Linked DNA regions of Nothobranchius furzeri. The protein of the gene in region 2 interacts with the protein of the main gene of each other region in a biochemical or structural test. Links are inferred from orthologs where the notes say so. Each region holds a gene or a part of one and is shown on either strand. Other genes may lie near its edges.

Region 1 (3,500 bases), on a different chromosome or scaffold from region 2:
ACTTTTGGTAATTTACAGAATCTGATTTGATCTGTCAACTTTCAGGGTTTAGTATGTTGCCTGATGTAAATTACAATTTCTAACTAGAAAATTCCTGAAGAATTTTTAAAAAGGGACCTGCCAGCTGGCACAAGATAACATTCATACACATGTAAAAAAAATGCCTCTTTAGAAGGCCTGCCATCAAATTCATCCATTATTGTGCACATAATTAAATCATAATCATGCAAAGTTAATGCAAATTTAGACACACTCAAAATGAATAAAAGAATATGTTTTTTGCTAATAATTTCACCATCATAAATCAAAATGCTTAGAAAAGTAAAAGCACACCTCCCACTGCTGAGCCGTTTATTTTGATGTATAATTTGTGGGGGTGCACGCTGCCGCTCGAGCCGCGTTAACGTCCGCGGAAGAATAATAACGGATATTAATATCTAAAACTCCCCAGGTGCATAACAATAAGGTCCCTGCTTGCTGCAGCAGCAGGTCCCTTAATTATTAAGAACGTACTTAAATGAGTAAACTTTAAATTTTATTTGATTAAAGATGAAACAGCAGCTTTCTTTTGGATTTTAGATATTTTAGAACTGTGTGGAGCGACAAGTTTGGAGCTGCAGCTCTCATCTTCTTTTACAGTGAAACAATATTTAGCTTTTGTATTTGACGTATTGTTTTTTCTGTAATTTGACAAACTTACAAGAGAGTTGTTTACATTTATCTCTGACGTTGTGGCTCCTGTCCCAAAACACAATCACACCCATCACTGTTGCTTGTCTGCTGCTGAGCAGCACAATCGGTTTCCCACAAGCTAATTCTCCACATCAATAATATTTAATAACTTGGCTGATTTTATGGAAAGTACTCCAGACAGTTTAAGAGAAGATGAGGAATAACAACCAATGCATTAAGCATAGCTTAAGTGTTCTGTTTGTGTTTTGCAGAATGTCAAGACCATCCCCTCCTCAGACAGCCTAGCGAAGGTTCAGGAGGTAGCAAGCTGGCTTTTGGAAATGAACCAGGATCTGCTGTCGGGGGGCAGCAGCAGCAGGCGGAGCCGGGGCCCCGGGGGTCAGGCAGTACGAGGTAACGCCTCCTCTACGGCCCGGGCACCCCAGCAGGCAGCAGAGGAGGGTGAGGAAGATGATCACATCAACCGGGTGGTTGAGGAAAGCGAGCAGCCACAGCAGAGGGTGAGGTTTTTTTTATTTTGTGCATGTTGGAACATAAACTGGGTTTCCCTAAAAGGTCATTGTTATTCTTCTCTGTGGCGTTTTGCAGCCGGATGCGTCACAGGTTGATGATGAAAGGGAGCAGCCATGGGCACCCGCCGAGTCAGGAGCCAGCAACGGCCCTCAAGGAGAAGCAGACGAGGAGGAGAGAAGAGGAGGCCAGCTAAATGAAGTGACCGGGGATTATAAAGGAGTCCGATGGGTGTGGGGAGCAGAGCAGAGAGCGCTCCGAGGCCAGCCGCACCTCGAAGAGGAGGAAGAAGAGGAAGAAGAGGAGGAGAACAACAATAGCAGCAGCCACCAAGAGGAGGAGGAGACAGAGGAGAGGACAGAGGGAGGGGAGGAACAAGGAAGGGAAGAGGAGGAGAGGGATGAGGGTGAGGAGGAAGAGGAGGAGGAGGATGACGAAGAGATGGACCAAGACAGTGATGAGTTTGAGCAGGAGGAGGAGGAGGAGGAGGAGGTGGGAGATGGGCTCCGCTCCCCCACTCTCAGGAACAAAGTGTCTGCCCCCAGGAATAATCAGGACTCGCTCTTCACACACCAAAGTTCTTCCAACAAGAAGGTAAGCAGCTTAATGGATCCTGTTAGCCGTTCTGCACGTCTGTGAGTAGCTTTACAATCACATCTGGCCAGATGTTCCTGTAGTCTCACAAACTTCTGAAAATGTTCTGCACCAGCGCTGCATTGTTGTTTGAAACAACAGCGCCACCCAGTGGCCAGAATGCTCCAGCACTGTAAAACTCAACACTGTTAGTCAGAAACTTGTTTCATGTTTGATTGGGAAACATGATTTTATATCTGAAATCCAAAAATGCACATCCTGTTTAGCACTTGTAAAGAGTAAACTGTTCAAAGTTTCATGTGAAAGAGTGTTTAGAGTAACACACATTTGTGTTCAGCACCATTTCTTACATTTAGATCCGTATAGTTTTTATTCTTTAGTGGATCCTGTGATTCAGACGCTGTTCTCCATTACAATTCTGTTCAATTCAGTCAGGTTTAGTTCCCCTGGGCCTCTTGTGATCTGACACAGCTGACCGACCAGGTGTGTTTATCAGGGCCTTAGTCACTTGTGGGCCATTCCCATCTGTACCGGGTCGGCCCGGGCCGGGTAGCGTAGGTTGTTTACATATCTGGGTAGCCTGGTATTTTTCCGGGCCTACCAAGGCTCATTCTCAGCCCTCTTCTCGAGGGGGTCTGCTTCAGGCCGACCAGGGCCAACACACCCACTGCTGACAGCAAATTCACACCTTCCATTAGAGCAAGCCTCTGATTGGTGGGTAGAATCAGCCCACATGGGCTTAAGACAAGGATGTGTGGAATCAACCGGGCCAGGCTGGGGCCGACTGGGGCTACCCGGCCCGGGCCGACCCGGTACAGATGGGAATGGCCCATTGGAGGAGCCATCTGGCTTTGCACACATTCTGTTGAGCTGTGGTTAAATGTGCATGGTATTATAGAAGGATCTGTTATGAGTTTAAATTAAAAGTTTCATTAATAGTTTATTTATAACTTAGCAGTTTTCACAACAGAGACCTTTTGTGATTGAGCTGGTTGAGCTGTGTAAAAAGAAACTGACTAAGGCCTGATGTGCCACCAGATTAGGTGGCTTATGACTCATCACAGATGGGTTCTGTCATGGATTTGATCAGTAAGTTTATCAATAACCTATTTCCCTGTAGTCGGAGAGAAAAAGGAGACAATGAACAACAAGTCAAACAGTTATAACTGTGGCAAGATGCCCCAAACATCCGGTCTCATAGTTTATTTATATATATATATATATATATATATATATATATATATATATATATATATATAGAGAGAGAGAGAGAGAGAGAGGAGAGAGGAGAGAGAGAGAGAGAGAGAGAGAGAGAGAGAGAGAATGTGTGTGTGGGAAGTAGGGGTGGGCAATATAAACGAAATAAGGTAGAAACGATCTAAAATTGGGTAATGATAGTGTTTTTGGCTAAATTGCAATACCGCGATATCGCAAAAACACATGACGTCACTAAGATGTGCACCCTGCTGACATTGGGGCAACAGAATGGCAGTGACTACAAGCATGGATTGGGCGGAGGAGGTGGCCTATGTACAGTGGGGCAAAAAAGTATTTAGTCAGGCACCGTTGTGCAAGTTCTCCCGCTTAAAATGATGACAGAGGTCAGTAATTTTCATCATAGGTACACTTCAACTGTGAGAGACAGAATGTGAAAAAAAATCCATGAATTCACATGGCAGGATTTTTAAAGAATTTATTTGTAA
Region 2 (3,054 bases):
AGGAGGAGACCCCACTGTTCCTTGCAGCCCGTGAAGGCAGTTATGAAACTGCAAAAGTTCTTCTTGAGCACTTTGCCAATCGTGAGATCACTGACCATCTTGATCAGCTGCCTCGGGATATCGCCCAGGAGCGAATGCATCATGACATTGTTCGGCTTCTAGACGAATACAACGTGGTTAGGAGTCCTGGGCTTCACAGTGCCCCCTTAAACACCTCCACACTCTCTCCACCTCTATGTTCTCCCAATGACTATCTCAGCAACCTCAAGCCAGCTCCTTCTGTCAAGAAGTCCCGGAAATCAAGTTCTAGTGGAAAAGGGGGGAAGGATGGGGGTAAGGACATTAGGGTTAAGAAGAAAAAATCTCTGGATGGAAAGAGTAACTTGCTGGACACAACATCTGTTCTTTCTCCAGTTGAATCACTGGAGTCGCCTCATGGCTACCTTTCTGATGTAGCTTCTCCTCCTATGGCATCGCCCTTCCAGCAATCCCCCATGTCTCTAAATCATCTACAAGGCAATGGAGATTCTCTTACAGGCCAGATTAATCTGGGTAAAGATATGACTTGCATGTCGTTTGACCCTCCCCGTCTTTCTCACCTTCCCGTGTCCAGTCCCAATGCTCAGGGGACCACCTCCATAGGTGGTGGCAGAGGGGGTCAGTGTGACTGGATCCCCAGGATGCATCCAGGCGTAGGCCAGCAGGGAAGCTTCACCCAAGGACCATCCATTGCACACAGCATGATGGGTGCCCTGCATGGTGTCAGTACTGCCACTTTGTCTCAGATAATGGGCTACCAGAATCTACAGAACAGCCACCTTGGCTCGTCTGCACACTTGATGCAGCAGGCTCGCTCACGGCAGCTCAAGCATCAAAACTCCAATTCCACAACAGCTGGTCAATCCCTCAACCAGAGCTTCCCAACGGTTGAGCTGAACGGCTCAGACATGCAGCCGAACAGCAGCACAGGACGATCAGTGCCCATCCACACTATTATGCCACAGGAGACGCAGATGCTTGGTACCCAGTTTCTTACCCCTCCCTCCCAACATAGCTACACAGGCCCTATGGACAACACACCCAACCACCAGTTACAGGTGCCCGACCATCCTTTTCTGACCCCATCCCCTGGTTCCCCTGACCAGTGGTCCAGCTCATCCCCACATTCCAACATGTCCGACTGGTCAGAGGGCATCTCTAGCCCGCCCACAAGCATCCATTCACAGATTAATCTAATCCCAGAGAAGTTTAAATAAATTGGACCTGCTCAGATTGAACACAGAACACACAAAACAACAACATTTCTGTCATAAAGAGTAACAAATTTGTGACAAGACTGAAGAAATTTCCCTTTTCATAATCAGTTTTTATACTAATAAGAGCAGTTTTAGTTATTTTGTATTTATTTATGTGCATTTTGTGAGCTGAAAGAAAGATGTTTTATATTTATGTTTTTTTAATGTATGAAAAACCTAGAAACTGTTGAAAGGTAGTGTCTGTCAGAAAGAACGCCTCCTGGATGTGTACACTGGTTATTTATTTGTCTTGTGTTGATATATTCACTGGATTTGTTTGACTCTTTTGGCACAAAAGTTTGATTTTCCTTTTCTTTTTATTTTTTTTGGGCGGGGGGGGGGGGGGGGTGAGTAGGGCTTCTGCATTGCTTTACCTTTGTACAGTTTTTTTATGTTTTAGAGAATATTTTAAATTTTCAGTATTAATTAAATTTATCTTTAACCTCATTTGTCCTTTTTTTAAGTAACTTTGTTTGTTACTGAACTACATTTCACTGAGTCTTATCACTGAGTCTTTGTTAGACATTGATTTAATATATTAATTTAAAGAATCACTTTTCCTTTGGTTGCTTGCTAGAATATCCTTTCTGAACAAAATAACAAAAAATAATCAACAATAGCTAATAAATGGCATAACAGAGGTAATGAACTTAGGGGATTTTGGACCTTAAAGCTACGATCAAATATCGTTTTACTGACTAAGTGATGCTTTTCAGTAAATCTCAGCCTAATTTTATAGAAAAATGATCAGGGCTGATGCTGAGCGATTGATTTGTGATCATTTGTGACCCAAGGATTGTTTCTTTGTTTCTTATAAATGGTTTGCAAATCTTTGACTATGGTTACCGTGTTTAACCTGTTAAGTGTTACCTTGCAGACCTTTTGTAAAATGTTGAAATGTTACATTTGTCACGGTTTTTAAAAGTGCCAGTGTGATTTATGCTTTTCTTACAAAAAGCAATGTACTTTTTGAGATTTCTTGTAAAAAAAAAAAAGTTACGTCTTCCAAGAGGAAAGTGATGTTGTTTGTGAACGAAATGGGGACCTTTGTATGTTTTTAGCGACATCATCTGCACTTTGTGAACAGGTGTAGCTTAAGGTGTCTAAATGTTATGTTTTATAAACTAATCAAGAGGTAAAGATGTTTTTAAGGAACAAAAAGTAATAACATTTTCATGCATAGTAGACATATTTCCAGATGAAAATCTTTTGTAAAGCTGTCATGATTCAATAAAAAGAATTGCAGTTAAACCTCAAAACAGTGTCTTTCCTTGTTGCATAACTAGTGCTCTGAGATGACAATATTATTAGAGCCTTCTCAAACTAAACACATCATGCACCATAATCATGTTGTAAGCTGGAATAAGATGAAATAAAAGCATAGAGGTTTTTGAGATTTTTGTCATGGGACCGAAGAAAGCAGCAGCAGCTGAGACGGAAACACCTGGGACCAAGAGGAGCCGTCCCCAGGACTTGCCCGAGGCCTCATCTCCCCATAAGGATGTCTTAGATTTACTACAGTCCATAGATAAACGGCTTCTGGGATTTGAGGGACGACTCCACCTGCTAGAGGTGCTTCACAAGGAGTTCCAGGATCCCCGAACCAGAGGCGGATTTAGCAATTTGGGGGCCCAAGGCGAACACAGACATGGGGCCCCTTACACTAAATTTTCGACAAGCTTACCTTTAACTGGATTTGCGAAACTCTCCCCTCTTCTGACATGAGTTATTTTCCCTTTTTATTAGTCCTCCTCTTTTT
Region 3 (4,092 bases), on a different chromosome or scaffold from region 2:
TGATTAAATTTTGGTTATGTGCTGTGGTTAAAGAGGAGCAAGAAGCTCAAGATCCTGAGAGAGACGGGGTTTAATCAGAGAAGAGCTGGTGAACACATTCACCAATTAATATTTCAGACAGTTTTCACACAAGAGTTCATTTACTAAGTGAACAAGACTCCAGACCAACCAGGTGCTCTGTGAACCAGTGACAGTCAGACACGGTGGTGGTGGTGGGATGGTCTGGGGCTGCTTAGCTACTTCAGGACCTGGAACACTTGTTGATGGAACCATGGGTTCTGTTCTCTAGCAGGACATCCTGAATGAGAGCATCTGACCTTAAACAGGCCATATCTGCTGGAGAACCCTTTAATGGAGCTGAATTCAGACTGTTCTGTGGAGAAGAGCAGGACAAGACTCCTCTACAGTGATGTGAGGGACGTGTTACCAGTTCCCACACACACTTAATCCAGTAGGTTCCTCCACGGGTCTTACAGCTAGTCGGTAGGCTTTGGTGCGAGTTACTTTGTTATGTGTCTGTAGATAAAGGTGTATGGCAGAGGTCCTCGACTCACTTTGTTCAGCCAGAATTTAATGATTGCTTTTTGAGAAAAAAAACACAATCCTCCTTTTTCCTGCTAACAAAACCCAGGAACCATAAGATCCAAATGTTTGAGAAGTCAGATTATGGAGATACTTTATTTCACAGCATGGACAGATTGTGATACTGAGATCCTAGAAAGGTCATAAAATTATGTCACAGCATGATGAAAGGTGAGGTGAAGTTGAAAGGTCAGCCTAAGTAAATGAAGGCTCCTATCACTAGAACACAAATCTCTAACCCCTAATTCCCGTTGACCCCGGTAACCCTAATCCTTAGCTGCAGCTAACAAAGGTTCATGAACTTTAAAGGTTCTGACCTACAAAATAACAACCCTGGAGATTTCTGTGGCTGCTGAGCCACATATATGTTTTGCTCTGTTCTGCAGCCTGTGGTCGGGCTAAAATTAAGCACATCAAAAGTATGTTCAGCTAAAAATAAAAATTATTGACAGATTTGTTTCTCATCTCTGTTCTGGGTGGACTGTATTGGATATAGTTATGAGAATTATATTCATTTGTCTGTTTTATATTGAAATGCTGTTTCGCCTGCATTAATTAGATTATTTTATAAGGATCTCAGGTTCAAGAAAAAAGACCTGATGACAGTCCAACCTTCCAGCAGGAGGCAGCCCATCCTAACAAAAGAGGGGATGTGAGGCTCAAAGGGAAAATTCTGGGACAGGTTGATCGGTGCTTCTTTGCTGTAAAACCTTGAAACAGAATCAGAAGAGAAACTTAACGGAGAACAAAAAACAGTCACAGATAAAGAGGCATAGTTAATCTGGGACAGCAACAGATTCTTCACCACAGCTAAGGTAAGAATCTACAAAACAGGTCCAACTACTTTTAGCCTTGTGTGTGTGTGTGTGTGTGTGTGTGTGTGTGTGTGTGTGTGTGTGTGTGTGTGTTTCTGCTTGTTCTGTAACCTTTTAGCTATTTGTGAGGAATGCTGATAAACTTCTGGCCTTTTGAAGGGGCCAGTGTGTGATCATCAGGTGTGTGTGTGTGTGTGTGTGTGTGTGCGTGCGTGCGTGTGTGATGGGGGTTACAGTTAACCTGAATTAATCACCAGTGTTTTAAACAAATAAAAAAAACAATAAAACTAGAATCTGGTGCAAAAATTAATTTATGTCAGTAAATAAACGTAGACTGAGAGGCTAAAGACTAAAGGCTCAGGAACCCTTTGCATGTGTTTCCGATCAAGCCGATTAGCCTAGAATATTAATGGTCTAGGATTTAGATATTGGGGTTTTCATAAACTGTAAGCCATAATCTTTACAGTTATGACAAATAAAGGCTTGAAATTTCTGTCTTTGCCTGGAATTATTCCAATATGTTAGTTTCACCTTTTAAGTTGACTAACTGAACTAATGGTTCCAGTCTCACCTGTAAACATGTAAGATTCTGATTTTTCATTGACAAAACGTTGTCTTTATATCCACCCATAATTGTTGTGGCTTCCGTTTCACAGCAAAAATGAGCGTCTCTGCGCATGTGGTAATTGTTCCGCTCACAACTGCGTCACTGACTCCGGCCCAGGTTACAATCAGCTATCGATCACCTCCGATCAGCGCGCGCCAGCCAATGGCCTCGCACGGAGGCGGTCCGTTGCCAAGGAGGAGGTTTGGTTGAGTCTCCGGGTCGCAGCCATTCAGCGGCGGTGACTGAAGCGATTGGACTGCTCGGGTCTCTCCGAGACTTTTTTGTGGAATTTGAATTATTTGGCACGGCACGGCTCGTGACTCACAGGTGACGGTCTCGGTGGGGATCCTTCTGGGTCGCAGAGGTGGTCACAGGTATGTTGAAAGAAAAAACAAAAGACGTTCTGTGTTGATAGGACGAGCGTTTCTAGTTAACCGTTAGCTCCCAAGCTAAGCTGCGCTAGTCCCCCCCTCCCTGCGCACCAAGCTACACTAGCTCCCGGTTACGTGACACTATTCTGTTCTTTTACTACCCTGACTACATGGCAGAAGAGGCTAATGCAAGCTCCGAGGTCTGATTTCTCTCACAAACAAAGGAGATGTCATTCTGTATGTGGCAGTCTGAGATGGGATGATATTTAGCTAGTTAGCTCACCACTTTCAAGTTACCAGGATAACTTTTAAGAGATGGACGTCACTCCGGCTGGAGTGTGCAGCCACCGAGCTGGTTTGTTGTCACGACGTCGCTGGTGTGTAATATTATTGTTAAAACGTTGTGTGCTAAAGAAAGAGTGGGTTTATTTAGCTGTAAACTGAAGTGACTTAGCACGTTCCGGGGAAAAAAGGCGTAACTGGTTCAGCTCTGAACATGTTAATGAGGCTGAAACGACAGGTCCTGGATCAGCCGTGACTCATGCTCTTAACACGCTGGATGGTTTAAGGTGCGTTAATGTGATCGCGTAAGGTGATGGTATCTTGGTGAGATCTTGCTCACTCTTCATTCTACTCTGGTTGTATCTGTGAGCAGATAAACACAGTAGTCAGATTACCTCCTACTAACAGATCCAGGAGCAGGAGGATGATGTGCCCAGGTTATTCAGATGGGAATGTTGTCAGGAAGTTTGGATCCATCACAATTCCCTTGATGGTATCATGACATGCTGTTTTGTCGTTCATTATGAGGGAATAGTGTTTGTTTGCTAATAATATTTTTATTCTGGTTGGATAAGTGTAATTGTATAAATTCAAGATGAAAAAAAAAACAAAACAGCACATAGCTAGGCCCCTTAAACATCAAATCTCACTTTTTGTTTACAAGTCTACAGAAACAAGACAACTACTGTCAGCCATGTTTATTCCTATTCATTCATCGGTTTAAGCCCAGTAGTTTTTTCTGAAGTGGAAAAAATGGAGCAAAATGGCAGATTTTTCTCCCATCGTTTACCAAAAAGGGAGTTGTCTGGTTATCTTCCACTGAACCCACTGTCTAAGTATGTCAGCTATTCGAGGGAGGCGAAGGAGAACACAGGAGCATGTATCTTTCTGTGGTTTAGAGATTCTCTGAGAAACTTGCATTACCCTTATCATCTTGCGCTGCTGTCAAGAGAAAAGAGCTCTTTTGGCAGTGAGCTTTGCATGCAAATGATGCAACACAGGTAGATAAACCTGCTGTGCAATGATAATGCATTCACCAGGCTAACCTGTCCTCAGATAGTCGTGCCTACCTGTGTGTGGTGAAATCAGCATCCGTTTAGCTCAGTTTTGATTGATTCTTTGTTTTGTTGACTGATCAAATAGAATCCGTGTGGCCGTCTCCTCGGCTTCCTAATGTGCATGATATTTTCTGTCATGTACGGGTGTTTGCTTATGAGTTTTTAGTGAGTTGGTTTGAAAACAAGTTGCTTCTTTAGCTGTTTTGGAGCACAGAGAAGACGCAAGCAAGATGGAATTCAAAGGGAGTTGCATATTATTGTTTCTGTTAGCCCCTTCAAACGTCCGTGTAGCATTTGATACCCTTTCATCTTCACAAAGAGGGGCATGCTGTCTGCACACTAGGGCTGCAGCTATCGAATATTTTTGTAATCGAGTA
Region 4 (3,500 bases), on a different chromosome or scaffold from region 2:
GACGTATCCCGGGCGCAGCAGCTGAAACAGATGGCAGCCCAGAACCAGAGAGCCCAGCAGCACAAACAGCCCCAGATGGGGACCAAGTTCCACAACCCCCCTCCCTGGCCCCAGATGTCCAACAGCTCCCAGAGCCCCTCCCTGTATCCTCCTGACTTCACTTCTAACTCCTCAAAGCAGTTGCTGATGCCCTCTCAGCCCAACAAAGGCTCGCCGAAGTCTGGCGCAGGCAGCTGCATGCAGGGGTCTACCGGGCACCCCAACATGCTTGGTTCCCTGACCTCAGGACACCCACTTAGCCACCCCTCAGGACAAGGTACTCAGGTGTCCCTGAACTTCCACAACACTAGACCTCTGTCGCACTACGAGGCAGGACCGGGTCCACCGAGAGCCCCCAACGCTCAGAACCAAGACAAGACCCTCGGTCTGGTGCGCCCACAGCAACCACAATCCAAACCCAACGGTATAAACTTCCTTCAGCACATACCACACTCACAGGTATGTACACACACACACACACACACGCGCACACACACACACACACACACACGCACACACACACACACACACACACACACACACACACACACACACACACACACACAGAGGTTAGGCTTTGTTCTACAGTCTCACGCTATAATCTGTCCTAGGCCATATTTAGGCAGACTGATCAACTGTTTAGAGATAATCAGGAGTTCAGCTATTTGAGAGAACTGTACTTGGATATTGAATATTTATCCCTTGTACTAAAAATCCCCCAATAAGTTTTAAAGATGACTTTTTCTCCTTCTACGAGTGTTGCTGTGTAGTCAGGAGACTTCTGATATCTTTATTCTGATTGAATAAGCACAGCTGCCAGTCAGTCAGTTTACAGGTGAGAGAAGTATTTGTCTAAAGGTGATTACATTTTTCTTTCTATCTTTTTTTTTTGTTTTGTTACAGGACCAGAACACCTACCCTGCCCCTCCACACGGCACAGGCCCTGTCAACACCATGACGCCTGGGCCCAATAACATGGTGGCGCCGCAGGGAGTGAACGCCTTGTCCATTAAACGTAATAACGCTGTGTACTCAAACAAACAGGCAGCAATGGCAGCAGCACTGAAGCAGCAGCAGCATCAAATGTTGGAGCAGCAGTATGTGCAGAGGCAGCTCATGGCTGAACAGGTGAGACTCACCTGTGATTCCACTTTGTGCTTACTGTGAGGTTTCTGAGCTGACTTTTAACCTCAGACACCAGGGGGAGCTGGCCCTCATTGGAGATCTGACCAGAGTGTCTGCTGAGGCAGCTGGAGCCATCAGAAGCTTGTTCACTTTTCCCATCATGCCACGTTTTTTTTCCCCTTATCCACCCAAGCAGCAATCCTTCTTTTATGGTTGCTTGTGGTTCTTTTTTAACTCAAGTTTCTCTGTTCTAAGATGTTTTTTGTAGTTTATTGGTGTGCTGTAAATCATTCATGATCCTGACTCATGAACCCTTTACAGGAGAAGCAGCGTCAACAGGAGCAGCAGCAACAGCAGCTGCAGCGACACCTGACCCGACCTCCCCCACAGTACCAGGACCAGCCAGGACCACCAGCCAATCAGAATCCTTTTCCACAGCAGCCAGTCAGTCAGTTTACAGGTGAGAAAAAGTTTTCATGCTTGCGTGTTTAGTGAGAACATGCCAGAGTATCTCTTATAATTGGATATGGAGCTGCAGGAATAAATGTTCTATCCTGCTTGGAGATTTTCCGCATCAGCCTAACATACCAGAGGACGGTGTAGACTAAAGCCTGATTTATGCTTCTCCGTCTGCGTCAGTGCGGAGACACGCAACGCCATTATCCGTACTTGCGTAGGGCACGCAAGTACGTACGGAGTCGAGCCCACTTTTTTAAACATCCGTCGAACGAGACGGATTACGCAAGCTTGTGATTGGTCAGGATGCCGCTGTTGTTTACAGCGCCGCCATTGCAAAGAGAGCCGAGGAAAACTAGCGGCAGACACGGAGAAGCTTGAAGAATACCTCGCGAAAAAACTCTAAAAATATGAACGTTTAATTCTCCCGTGACTGGAGGAGTGAAAAGATGCGCAGCAAGCATTTTATTTGTGGACGGAAATGACAGGAAACGTGGGTTTAGAGGTGGGGAGCGCATGAAGGGGTGGGAGAATGAGAGACAAATATGTCCCTGTTAAAAGTCACTTATATACACAAAAAACACAATATAAACACACGATCTTGGACCGATGCATGACAGGAAACCACAGAACAGCGCTACGCCCTCTGTTGTCCTGCAGGGCAATTGCTTTGCAACACTCTCCAGGAGACGGAGAAGTACAAGAGCAAAACGCTTCCGTCAGTCCGTGCGTGTCTGTCCCTTGCGGAGCTGACGGAGAAGCATAAACCAGGCTTAAGGCTGGGTGGTAAAGCGAAAATTTACCGTTACGCAAATGTATAACTCTTACCAACGTCATTTATTTATAAATGTGAGTCAGTTGCTGATGTCCATGTCCCTTTTAAGAAGCTGCGACACAGACCAGTGGGGTACACGTCACAGCCAGTCACATAGTCATGTGACTCCAACCCATCGAGTCTGTAACAAGAAAAGCAAAATGAGGAAATGGAGAACGAATTAAATATGGAAGCAGTGGGCTGCTTGCAGCTCATAGTTCTGATTCTCTCAATACTTGTGGACCACGGCTGCTCGTAGCTGCCCAAATCTTGTAACAGTTCTCTTCTCAATGACGCTCGCCGCTTGGTCCGCAACACTCTGCAGCCAGCCGCAGTTATTGATGGTCAGCCGAGAGCGTTGATCAGCGGGCTACAACTGACATAGGTTTAGTCGTGGAGAAGCTTGTTTCCAAAAACGTGCATCAATCATTTGGTAACAATATGGATTCAGCAAGGTTGATGTGATGAAAACAAGACAATGTAAACTGGGCAGAAAGACTATCACCAAGTCAAGATAACACGTATATCTTCAGTACGTCTGGGTTTTATTTAGAACCTGACTACTGGACAACTCAAATGTGACTTCACCTGATCCATTTCAGTTCTTTTCAAAACCATCTAGTTTGGTGATACATTGTTAAATCTCCATCCATCTGTTTTCCTCCACTTATCCAGGGCCAGGTTGTGGGATCCTTAGTCTATAATTCAATTCAAGTTTATTTGTATAGTGCCAAATCACGAGTCATTTCAAGGCATTTCACAAAATCTTTAAATCATGAGTCATAGGTTAAATATGCTAGTTATTAAAATTATATATATATTTATATATACACTATATATATTCATTATCGAAATCTTGTTGATAATGAATAAAATTACAATATTGGTGGATTCATAACATATAACCATAAAAATTGGAAACAAAATACATGGGAGCAGGTCTACATCTCTGGGCGATGCCATATTAGGGCTGCCTCACACGAGAGCAAACTGCTGAGCTGACAGTCATTCGAGGCCGCTTGCTCAGCAGATGGCTCGCTGTGTGTGCCTGATTTTCAGTCTTTTC
Region 5 (3,500 bases), on a different chromosome or scaffold from region 2:
ATAGACAAGGACCTCTTTATTTGAATTACCAGGCATTGACGCATAAACAGGAACTATTGCTGAAGTCTGAGCACTGTTACCATCATGTACAACTCTATTGGATGTGGTTTCTTGAATGGTGTCTTGCAGCGATTGTAGCGTTCTTCCCTTAATGAAAGAATATTTTCTTTGAACTTGAAATATTTTTCCTTTCAATAAGAGTTTGGAAGGATGATTTTCAATGATTAAACTTGAGTGGATCACCATTAAAAACTGTGGGCTCTGGAATGGGTAGCCTATTTGCTGATATAGCCTCAGCTAAGACTTTCACAAGCTCTCCTGTGCTGTCTTGAAGCACATGTGTTGGCACTGCATCCTTTGGTGATTGTGAGTGCCAGTTGTCAGATTTCATTTGGTTGCGTGGCTGCATAACCTTATGTAGATCTAGGCTCTGTGGAGCATTCCCTTGTGCTGGGCTGAGCTCATTCTCATCATACACCTGAAGCCTTGCTTTGGCTGCATTCATCCTTTTCAAATTCTCTAAACGATCAAGCTCTCTCTTTAGGTTCTCTACAGACCTCTTTCTTGCCGCATTCTCTTCTTGCTGTTTCTTTAAGAGAGCGGCCTCTTGTTTCTCTTTTTCTAGCCTGCGTTCGGTTTCTTCTCTTTCTCCTTCAAGACGACGAGCTAATGCGGCTGCTTCTTGGTCTGCGATGATCAACCTCTCTTCAGCTTCAAGCTTTTGCAGCTTCTCTTGGTGGTCCTCTTGTTCAGCCATAATCTGCAGTACAGCCCGTGTAGCTGCATACTCGGCAGCAGCTTCTTGTCTTCTAAGTGAAGATACATTTGAGCGAATAGAAGATGCTTTAGAACCATTAGAGGCAGAAAGTGAAACACTGGAAGTTGAAGATGCGAATACAGAACTGTGATCTGGCCAAATCAACTCCTCAGCTGTACCCTGTATCTCAAATTGAGCATTTCGTAATACAGTCTTGGTGATCGAGATGCAGTTATCCATCTTGCGACGCATGTCATGGGATGGTTGATCAATTTTTCGGTAGTCGTCATAAGCAATGTTCAATTCAGATAATTCCCTTTGAATACCGATGATGTGTTCTTGTAGGATGTCACTAGTATCCTGTTTTAACACAGATCTTTTAGCTACCTTAATTAGAGCTTTCCATCGTTCATATTTGCTGTCAAAGCGAAGCGCTAGCCCCTTGATTTGCTTTTTCTGAAACTCCTTTCCCTTTTCTGTTAATGTCCGGGCTCTTTCACTTCTACGAGGCACTTCAGGTGGTGCTATATTTTGCTCGATATTTGATTCATCTGTCTGCTCTAACTCGGTCTCTTCTTCCAGAGCAGCTGCTGCACCCTGAGCTTCTTTACTTGTATGTGACATTTTGATTATTTGTACACAGGCAACATACAAGAGCAAGCTGCAACACTATTTGTCAATGCTGAATAAGGGGCTTAACTAACTAAAGTCACTCTCCATGTAGCATATTACAGAGTAAGTACACTTAACAGAGTTCTTCTTATAACCTGTCACACACCGAACTTGTAACGACATTGAACCGTAAATACAAACTGGATATCTACCAAATGTACAAGGTGTACTTCTGCTCCTTAAGAGCCAACTATTATTATTCAACTGAACATGAATTTACATGTCTTACTTAAGTGCACATTCATATACGTGAAACACCGTGGCTGCCAGGTTATACACAGTCCCTCTTAGTTTTCAACTCTTGTGTCACTTTTCAGACCAAAACTTTAGAGTCTGACTTATAGACTTCTTCATGAAAACCTTATGAACCTGTGTGGCCTAAACAGTGGCTTATCTAAATGGTAAATGGCCTGTATTTGATATAGCGCCTTCTAGAGTCCTGGAACCCCCCAAGGCGCTTTACAACACAATCAGTCATTCACCCATTCACACACTGGTGGGGATAAACTACAATGTAGCCACAGCTGCCCTGGGGCGCACTGACAGAGGCGAGGCTGCCACTGGCGCCACCGGTCCCTCTGACCACCACCAGCAGGCAACGTGGGTTAAGTGTCTTGCCCAAGGACACAACGACAGCGACAGACTGAGCGGGGCTCGAACCTGCAACCTTCCGATTACGGGGCGAGCACTTAACTCCTGTGCCACCGTGTTCCCGTCTTGATGAGCTGCCGAACTTGCGCTGATAGGGCATGTTTGGGCCTCGAGTTTGACTTTCGCTCCCTCCGGTTAATAGACGACACCACGGTTCTTCATTCACTGATGGATTTATTCTTCCTTCACACTTCTCCTCCAAAACACCATTAATCCACCGTCAAACTCGCTGGCTGCACGTAACCATAAGGGAGTGAATCCGCTTCAGGAACAAAACTTAACAAAGATAATTCGCTGGTTTCGTCTTCGTCTTCTCTACAGCTTTCCCTTACTTTAAACTGCTTATTTATTCATTCCTGTGACTGCATAGGTTATAGCTTAGCTTCTTTTCACATGCTCTTTTACTTCCCTTTCCGTCACCCAAAACGGGCCGTGCGCAACACAGCATGAAACTTAGTTCCTACCCCAAAAGAAACAACAATAGACCAGGGAAATAAGATACATACATAACACAATAAATTCAAACAAATTGACATAATTTACATTGTGGCAGTTAAAGTTCTATTAATTAATTAAGCTGTTTAAACAGATTAAGCAGATTAAAATGTCTGAACTGCAGTCAGATTCCAGCAAGTTTTCACAGGCTGTGTTTTAACAATTTGCCTTCATTTAAAGTTTTGATAAAAATGTTGTGTTAAAGATAATTTTTTAATAAGATGTGTTTTCTCTTGGTAACATGTTGTCATGACAACAGTTTGCCATCGTCTTCAAGACTCCGAAGTATCGAGACCAGAACCTGCAGAAGCCAACATCGGTGTTCGTCCAGCTGAAGAGGAAATCTGACAACGAAACAAGCGAGCCTAAACCCTTTACTTACCACCCTCAGGTCATAGGTACGTCTCTGACTCCGCCCTCCCTGACTCTGCCTTCAGATTTTGACCCTTTGCACCTACGTCAACTAATCATGTGGGTCCACCATGCTGGACGGCAAAAGCATGTAAACAGTGAGCGACGTGTACTAAACAAAGGGAAAAGTAGAGCCTGAAATAGTTTTTGTTGTCGTTTTTTGCGATTGTTGGCATTACTTTATCAGAAGGAATGCTATCAGAAGAAGTAGCGCACCTAGGCGGGGCTCATAGATACCAGGATTTATGAAAGTTAAGTGGTAACTAGCTTACGTACGTTAGCTTAAGTTCTTCTTGCGGCTGTTCAACGGTGCAAACAACTTTCTGATTTAGCCAAAATTCACCCACTGGATTTATGACATATAAACAGCATTTCACTTTACACTGAAGCTGATTTTTAAAAAGTCCAGATCTCTACCAGTTTTTGTTGCTGGCGGGGTCACCGGGTTCAGCTGCTTCTCTCACACCGGAATGAGAAGATCTTTGAACGGCGATGCTCACACTAAAGAAATAAC
Region 6 (3,500 bases), on a different chromosome or scaffold from region 2:
TGACCGAGCTATAAATCACCGTCATTCGTGTGTGTGTGAAAGTGAAATGATAGTGCGCCCGCCCCCCGGCGCGCGCGCGCCCGGTACATGCAATTTTTTATGCTTGATTTTAAACAACTAAACAAAATGGGGACTTGTTTCTTATTTGTTAGATGCTGCAGCTAAATTTGCATTTAAAAGTTTAACCTTCTCCTGAATTTTGTTGTTTTTAAGTTCAGTCGGACTCCGACTGTCGGACAAACAAACGTTACTGCGATCTGTGTTGTTACTGCCCTTTGAGCTGCATTCAGTAAAGCGTTATAAAAGAAGGCACGGCAATTTTTAACCTTTTTTAAATGTGTAAACATTATGTTTAGATAGTACTGCAATAAAAAAAGGACTGCAATAATATCGCATACCGCAATATTAAGCCACCCTGAATCACCGCAGGGGGAATTCCTCAACCGCGACAGCCCTAGCCTGGTTGATGCTTCTCCGTCAGCGCCGCAAGGGACAGACACGCACGGATTGATGGAAGCTTTTTGCTTTCATACTTCTCCGTCTCCTGGAGAGTGTTGCAAAGCAATTCCCTGCCAGGACAACAGAGGGCGTAGCGCTGTTCTGTGGTATCCTGTCATGTATTGGTCCAAGATCGTGTGTTTATATTGTGTTTTTTGTGTATATAAGAGACTTTTAACACGGACATATTTGTCTGTCATTCTCCCACCGCTTCATGCGCTGCCCACCTCTAAACCCACGTTTCCTGTCATTTCCGTCCACAAATAAAACGCTTGCTGCGCATCTTTTCACTCCTCCAATCACGGGAGAATGAAACGTTCATATTTTTAGTTTTTTTTGCGAGGTCTTCTTCAAGCTTCTCCGTGTCTGCCGCTAGTTATCCTCGGCTCTCTTTGCAATGGCGGCGCTGTAAACAACAGCGGCGTCCTGACCAATCACAAGCTTGCGTAATCCGTCTCGTTCGACAGATGTTTTAAAAAGTGGGCTCGACTCCGTACGTACTTGCGTGTCTGCCGGAGCCCTACGCAAGGACGGATAATGGCGTCGCGTGTCTCCGCACTGACGCAGACGGAGAAGCATAAATCAGGCTTTAGTTGTGAGCTTTCCTTTGTAGTTTCTCAACACTGAATGTATTTTCCTTATTGCAGGTGATCTTCAGCAAGTACACCGACCTGCTTCCCAAAGAGATCCTTCATGAAGATGCACAAGGCCTGCAGAAGCCAGACGAGGAGGCTGTTCAAGAGGTACGATGTCATACAACATGTTAGAAGATGCAGCTCTGTTTTTCTATCCTTCATTTATTACTAATGCATTAATGCTACCTTTAAATAATCAAAGGCGAGCTTTAACTCAGCTGTTATTTCTTATTTGGAGTAATCCTTTTATTTGCAACCCAGAATCTTACAGGCTGTTTGAACCATTGAATCCTTTATCTGCAAGTTTTATTTCATCTCACTGGCAAACCGCTGCTGTGTCTTGTTTGTTTTATTCTCATTAGTAATCATGATAAACTGGATAAATGTTCCTGTTCCTCCTCTGTAGCTGACGGAGAAAACTCGTGCCGCCCTGGAGAAGCAAGTGTCTCAGAAGATCGCAGCTGCCATGCCCGTCAGAGCCGCAGACAAACAAGCTCCTGCACAATACATCAGGTGTGTAGTGAAGCTGAACATGTGTGTGTGTGTGTGTGTGTGTTAGGAACAGTTCTATTGACATTAGTCATGTGCTATTGTTGTCTTCTTCAGATACACTCCTTCCCAGCAGGGGGTGGCTTTTAATTCAGGAGCCAAGCAGCGAGTTATCCGTATGGTGGAGATGCAGAAAGATCCGATGGAGCCTCCTCGTTTTAAGTAAGTCAGACGGTTTGAAATGGTGATCTACTTTTTGTTCTGTGTTGATTTAAGTTGGGCAGCAAATGTCGTCTAAAGGAAATATATTTCAGTTTGGAGTTGTCACAAAAAAACATTTAATGAGTGGGGAAGGAGCCTGAGTTGGTGTGTGAGGATGAGAGGTTCCGACTAGATATAGTCGGACTCACCTCAACGCATGGCTCTGGCTCTGGAACTAGTTTCCCTGAGAGGGGTTGGACGTTCTACCACTCTGGAGTTGCTCCCACTGAGAGGCGCCGAGCAGAGGTGGGCATACTAGTTGCCCCCCATCTTGGTGCCTGTACGTTGGGGTTTACCCCGGTGAATGAGAGGGTAGCCTCCCTCCGCCTACGTGTGGGGGGACGGGTTCTGGCTTTGGTCTGTGCTCATGCACCAAACTACAGTTCAGACTACCCACCCTTTTTGGAGACCTTGGAGGGGGTGCTGGAAAGCGCTCCTTCCGGTGACTCCCTCGTTCTGGTGGGGGACTTTAACGCTCACGTGGGCAACGACAGTGAGACCTGGAGAGGTGTGGTTGGGAGGAACGGCCCCCCCGATCTGAATTTGAGTGGTGTTTTGTTATTGGACTTCTGTGCCAGTCATGGATTGTCCATAATGAACACCATGTTCAGACGTAAAGGTGTCCATATGTGCTCCTGGCACCAGGATACCTTAGGCCGCAGCTCGATGATCGACTTTGTTGTTGTTTCATCTGACCTGCGGCCGCACGTCTTGGACACTCGGGTGAAGAGGGGGCGGAGCTGTCAACTGACCACCACCTGGTGGTGAGTTGGCTCAGATGGTGGGGGAGGATGCCGGTCAGACCAGACCGGCCCAAAAGTATCGCGAGGGTCTGCTGGGATTGTCTTCAATTCCCACCTCCAACAGAACTTCCAAAATGTTCCGGGGGAAGCGGGGGACATTGAGTCTGAATGGACCCTGTTCCGAGCCTCCATTGTTGAGGCGGCCGACCGGAGCTGTGGTCGCAGGATCGTCGGTGCCTGTCGTGATGGCAACCCCCGAACCCGCTGGTGGACACCGGCGGTTAGGGATGCTGTCAAGCTGAAGAAAGAGTCCTATCAGGTCTTTTTGGCATGTGGCACTCCAGAGGAAGCTGACGGGTACCGGCAGTCCTAGCGGAACGCGGCTAGCATGTCTGTAGAAATTCACACAAGACTTTAAACTTGCTTCTTCAACTTTCCTGATCCAAGCCGTGTTTCTCTGTAGTTCTGCATCGTCTGGTTGACATCCCTGGATTGTTGAATTAACTTGAGTGTTTGTGCGTTTCAGAATCAATAAGAAGATTCCTCGAGGACCCCCTTCCCCTCCCGCCCCGGTCATGCACTCTCCAAGCAGAAAGGTCAGCTAAAACGTTGGAAGCCCTCTGGTTGTTGATGCTACATAGCAAATGAAGATGAGCTAGCTATGGCTGCTTCTGATGGAGTTTCTTACTTTGTTGTAGATGACGGTCAAAGAGCAGCAGGAGTGGAAGATTCCTCCGTGTATTTCCAACTGGAAGAACGCTAAGGTGAGCAGACTCACCGGGAACATTGGTTGGTTTAGTCTGAATACAGCTGTGGGTAGATTTCAAGTCCTTTGATGTGCTCTTGTTCAGGGTTACACCATCCCCCTTGATAA
Region 7 (4,232 bases), on a different chromosome or scaffold from region 2:
CTGCACCATTTATTTAGTGCGTGTGGACTCCCAAACAAAAAACTGCTGTTATTTTGCTGTTTTGGACAAAAATGGAAACCTCTTCGCAAAGATTTAGATCAAACTGAAAACGGTTATAAAAGTTTTTGTTTTCGGTTAAACTAATGTCTAGAACACCAAATTTGGCAATTCATGCCACAACCCGGACGACACACGACCACGAGGTCAGCGCTCAAGCGAAGTGAATTTACCCGTTTCATCCGAAGCATTTCCGCCGAGGAAAATAGACTTTTCATAATAAAAGTATATGAAATAATAACAGATTGGAGATATTCGTGTGAAATTTGTTTTCTTCATTTTGTATACGAGAGTTTTAACAGCTGATATAGTCTACCTGTTGTATTAAACAAAATGTTCACTGCTGAAATAAACAACTAAATGAACAAGTAAATAAATAGGACCTATTGTCTAGTTGTGGAACCCTTCAGACAATGTCCATAGTCTGTTATTTTAACCTATTTAACATTAAAGCTACAAAAATTGTCCTGTATCACATTATTCGTTTAATTCTGATTTAATTAACAGCCAAAGGAGGCAGTTTGTTTCAAGGTCTCATTAAAAAATAAAATGCTTTATAGGCTACTTACAAAATTACAAACGTGTATGTTTATTAGTTATATTTATTTACTTTCATAGGAAGGGTTTATGTTGTAGGGGTGAAGCTTTTTATTTTTAACATTAAAAATTTTAATTTCAAATTATTTGACAGTTTATTGCAGATATCATTTCTTCAAAGAAATTTAATTTATTCTCTATTCTTTTCTTAAAGGGCATTTAGATCAGGATATTTTCTAAATGATGATTAAAAAATGTGAAAGATAGGATACAGGACCCATAATGTAAATAGAACTGGCCCCAAGATGGACCTTTGAGGAATTACACAAATGACAGGGACCTTTGCAAAGAATAAACCCACAATTAAATCAAAATGTTAAAGATGAGGCGGGCACTGCTGAAATGAATTTCACCTGAGTCAAGTACACAACTCTACAGACAAACTTAATGAAACTTATCAAAGCTCTGCTGGAGTTCGAATCACATTGACTGAAATAATAAAAGGCGAATTTTACTAAGCTGATACCACATAAGTCCCACTGTTGTAACAATTACTTTTATTCATTTATTTTTCATTGATAATTAAAAAAATTGTACAAAGTAAAACTAAATGCAACAAGTTTATATGAAACTCTTATGAAACATGTTTGTGAAAACATAAAAAAAACATATTTCTTCAGAGATAAAGACTGAAATGTTAAAGGTAAATAATAATTGCAATTTTTGTAATATGCCATTTTTTGGTAATTTTTTTAAATAAATTTGCCCAAAATATTACAACTTTACGACATTCCCAATGTTTTTATTGTGAAGGCACAAGCTAACCGTTAACGGAAGTATTTACCATCACTCCACGAGCCGTCGCTGCTACTCGTCGACCGCGCGCTGGTTTGGCTAGCTAGCGAAGAATATGGCAAGTCGAGCACCATGAAGTGCGGATGCATTACACGGATCACAGTTTTCAACTGAAAATACATCGATGGACCACTGACAATGACGTCAAAGTAGAGCACTGTTTGCAGTTATTACAAACCCGTAACACCTTCCCGGGGAAGTTTTCATCTGGTCAGCGGAGGGGAGAAAATCTCACCAGGAGCATGGCTTCTTACAGCAACCAGGTAGCTCGGCTAGCATTAGCCAGTAAAACAACTGAATGTGGAATTCATCTAACCGTTATTTAAAGCTTTACGATCACCTCTCTTTTGCAAAAACATGTTCACCAAATAATTATCATACCATATTCGTGTTATGCTAAGTTGTGTGTTTTCATTTACAACAGCGATTTGATCGTGTCATTGAAATTCGTAGTGCTGAAAAGTGCTTGCTAATGCCCCCCATCCACCCCCCCTCCTCCCAATGAAACACAACCAGCATGGTAACATTGCTAACAGGCCGTGCGATCCTCCATTCAAATGAGCCAGCAGTACTGCTTACTGCTATTTTTAAAAGCTACGAAAGCATTTTTTCATCTAATCGGTTCTACAGCCCGCATAATGAAACGACAGGGATTGCTTGGTACCAGATTCTACGATTGTCATGAATTATTTGTTAAGAGAGAAGTCACAGGAAAGGAAACTGCTGCGTGTTTGCACGGCCCACCTGCTCTGCTGACACGGGCCTTCTCGACTTTGTTTTCTTAAATCAATACTACTGAATACACGTCCAATATCAGGTGCAAGTTCCGATTCGCGGATATTTTTCCGCAAGCAAATGTAGGCGTATGCTAGCAGAAGTAAAGCCAAAGATGAGATGCATTTTCGAGCTTATTTAGCTGTTAGCAGGCTAGCAGTTTTGCACAGGTGGTGTGCATTGCTGTCATTTCGCTTGCTGGTTAGCTGAATACTGTGCGACAGCGTGGGCCTTAATTCGTATTTTGACATTTTATGCAAACGTAAGTAGACACACGATAAAATTAGCTATGGGCAATTCGCGTATGCAAACGCAAACTAGCTCTTCTCGCTGTGTGATAGAAGTTAGTCTGTAGGAAGCAGATTCGGGTTTTAATTCCGTGGAGGCTAACCTTCATGTGGGAAGGCCCGTTTTGAGGTGTGCATGCAGTAACTTGCAAGTAAGTCCGGGGTTTGTTGTGTTTGACTCAAAGTTAGTGTTTTATTTAAACGAAAGCACATCAATTAGGAACCCGTCATAAGCCGTTCGTTTGAATTAAATGTTCAACAAAACATGTATATTTATTACAGGAAGCGACGTATCACTGGAAATTATGTTTTCACACCTTTTCCTGCCCCAAACTGAGCATTTCTGTTGGCTGACTGTTCAGCAAAGCAGTGGTTTACGAGAACCAAAAAAATAAAAATAAAATAAATTAAATTCAGTTTCAGCCTTTTTTCCCCCTTTTATACAAAAGTACATTTACGTTGTGAAATGATCAGGTATCAGCCCTGAAATATTTGATTTCTCTTATCACAAGAGTATTTGTCAACTTTTAGGCATGGGGTAAATGGTCAATATTTACTGAGAAATATTGATTCCCCTCCATTTAAATTGAGCAAATTTCAACCATTATTAGATTTAAAAAATCCTGTTTAATTGTTGTTCACATTTAAATTCTTGAATGAAGCAGCTGCTGTTAAAGTGAACTGAATAACAAAATGTGTGCACACACTTATAGGTTACCAAATACAAACATCAGTCAAAGCAGGTCATACTTCTTCTATAGTGAAGAGATAAAGGTTAGGAAACAGGTCATGCTGGAAAATCTTGTCAGTTATACTTTTTACCCGTTTCTATTGATAATGGCAGATTTGGTTCTGCTTATTTTTTGCATGGTCATTCAAATCTAAAGGCTGAAAGACAGAAACAAGTTATGTTTGATTTATTTGATTTTCAGGCTTTCAGAATTAAACATTTTTTATGGTGAACAGGTAGTAATTATTGCATTTTGGGTTATTTCTACTTAAATACCACTTTTAATAGTTGTTGCACTGCTAAGAAATATAGTTGTATTGCTTATTTATATTAAAACAATTAAAAGTATATATCCTTCCTGTCTTCTAATGTGTATTTTAAAGTAATGACATGTCCCTGCAGGTGCATGCACACTTAGCAGTGTTCTACAGCTTCTCATGTTGACATAGGGATCTGTTTCTGTCAGAGTACACAAACTTTCCTCAGAATTTGTGTTTGATTCCCAGCGTGTAGATTTCATAAATATTAAAGGTTTGTCAACAGAAATATTGCAGAGAAGCAAATTGGTTTAGTCGTTTAATTATGTAGAAAATTTCTGAAGATTATTTAATACCATAATAGTTTCTCATAAATCACATGAATATGCCTGAAACAAATACATCTGCTGGCATCTTGGCATCTTTTATACCCGTGTGTATCTCAGAGTTTTCATGAAATGGTCAAGTGTGTTGTGTCATCGTGCAATAGCTGAAATTATACAGATGTCCAATTTGTTGTAATCTGTTGTATGCTCATAAAAAGATGCAAAGGGACATTCTTTCTGTTGTGACCGAGTTGTTCCGAGGCTGCTGGGATTAAAGCCGGCTGTTTGTCACTTGTTGTGCTGTTTCAGCAATGTGAGCCCTAATGGGGGGGCCTTGTTTGCAAAGAGTTACATATGCTTGAACTGCACTTTCTTTTCTCTGTGCCTTCCCTTTTCACAGCCGGCTATT

The links.
Region 1: the proteins of notch1a (region 2) and fbxw7 form a complex in vitro, tested with the Homo sapiens proteins (2 studies listed by BioGRID and IntAct, with this or other methods). The link is inferred for Nothobranchius furzeri from reciprocal best matches to the Homo sapiens genes NOTCH1 and FBXW7.
Region 3: the proteins of notch1a (region 2) and numb form a complex in vitro, tested with the Homo sapiens proteins (2 studies listed by BioGRID). The link is inferred for Nothobranchius furzeri from reciprocal best matches to the Homo sapiens genes NOTCH1 and NUMB.
Region 4: the proteins of notch1a (region 2) and maml1 form a complex in vitro, tested with the Homo sapiens proteins (2 studies listed by BioGRID). The link is inferred for Nothobranchius furzeri from reciprocal best matches to the Homo sapiens genes NOTCH1 and MAML1.
Region 5: the proteins of notch1a (region 2) and nfkb1 form a complex in vitro, tested with the Homo sapiens proteins (2 studies listed by BioGRID). The link is inferred for Nothobranchius furzeri from reciprocal best matches to the Homo sapiens genes NOTCH1 and NFKB1.
Region 6: the proteins of notch1a (region 2) and snw1 form a complex in vitro, tested with the Homo sapiens proteins (3 studies listed by BioGRID). The link is inferred for Nothobranchius furzeri from reciprocal best matches to the Homo sapiens genes NOTCH1 and SNW1.
Region 7: the proteins of notch1a (region 2) and usp10 form a complex in vitro, tested with the Homo sapiens proteins (2 studies listed by BioGRID, with this or other methods). The link is inferred for Nothobranchius furzeri from reciprocal best matches to the Homo sapiens genes NOTCH1 and USP10.

What each region holds. Positions count from the first base shown.
Region 1 is NC_091747.1:80,809,342-80,812,841, reverse strand, and holds part of fbxw7 (F-box/WD repeat-containing protein 7), read left to right. Parts: intron 1-944; coding exon 945-1,193; intron 1,194-1,281; coding exon 1,282-1,797; intron 1,798-3,500. UniProt on the Homo sapiens protein: Substrate recognition component of a SCF (SKP1-CUL1-F-box protein) E3 ubiquitin-protein ligase complex which mediates the ubiquitination and subsequent proteasomal degradation of target proteins.
Region 2 is NC_091746.1:60,833,946-60,836,999, forward strand, and holds the end of notch1a (neurogenic locus notch homolog protein 1), read left to right. Parts: intron 1-2; coding exon 3-1,256; 3' UTR 1,257-2,554; downstream 2,555-3,054. UniProt on the Homo sapiens protein: Functions as a receptor for membrane-bound ligands Jagged-1 (JAG1), Jagged-2 (JAG2) and Delta-1 (DLL1) to regulate cell-fate determination.
Region 3 is NC_091758.1:16,941,180-16,945,271, reverse strand, and holds the start of numb (protein numb homolog), read left to right. Parts: upstream 1-1,292; 5' UTR 1,293-1,397; intron 1,398-2,222; exon of another isoform or gene 2,223-2,378; intron 2,379-2,384; exon of another isoform or gene 2,385-2,575; intron 2,576-4,092. UniProt on the Homo sapiens protein: Regulates clathrin-mediated receptor endocytosis. Plays a role in the process of neurogenesis.
Region 4 is NC_091741.1:65,500,013-65,503,512, forward strand, and holds part of maml1 (mastermind-like protein 1), read left to right. Parts: coding exon 1-498; intron 499-942; coding exon 943-1,167; intron 1,168-1,485; coding exon 1,486-1,624; intron 1,625-3,500. UniProt on the Homo sapiens protein: Acts as a transcriptional coactivator for NOTCH proteins. Has been shown to amplify NOTCH-induced transcription of HES1. Enhances phosphorylation and proteolytic turnover of the NOTCH intracellular domain in the nucleus through interaction with CDK8.
Region 5 is NC_091741.1:65,304,963-65,308,462, reverse strand, and holds part of nfkb1 (nuclear factor NF-kappa-B p105 subunit), read left to right. Parts: intron 1-2,834; coding exon 2,835-2,973; intron 2,974-3,500.
Region 6 is NC_091742.1:20,654,240-20,657,739, forward strand, and holds part of snw1 (SNW domain-containing protein 1), read left to right. Parts: intron 1-1,145; coding exon 1,146-1,241; intron 1,242-1,539; coding exon 1,540-1,646; intron 1,647-1,739; coding exon 1,740-1,844; intron 1,845-3,152; coding exon 3,153-3,222; intron 3,223-3,324; coding exon 3,325-3,390; intron 3,391-3,477; coding exon 3,478-3,500. UniProt on the Homo sapiens protein: Involved in pre-mRNA splicing as component of the spliceosome. As a component of the minor spliceosome, involved in the splicing of U12-type introns in pre-mRNAs.
Region 7 is NC_091749.1:59,303,010-59,307,241, reverse strand, and holds the start of usp10 (ubiquitin carboxyl-terminal hydrolase 10), read left to right. Parts: upstream 1-1,432; 5' UTR 1,433-1,532; coding exon 1,533-1,712; intron 1,713-2,193; exon of another isoform or gene 2,194-2,326; intron 2,327-4,232. UniProt on the Homo sapiens protein: Hydrolase that can remove conjugated ubiquitin from target proteins such as p53/TP53, RPS2/us5, RPS3/us3, RPS10/eS10, BECN1, SNX3 and CFTR.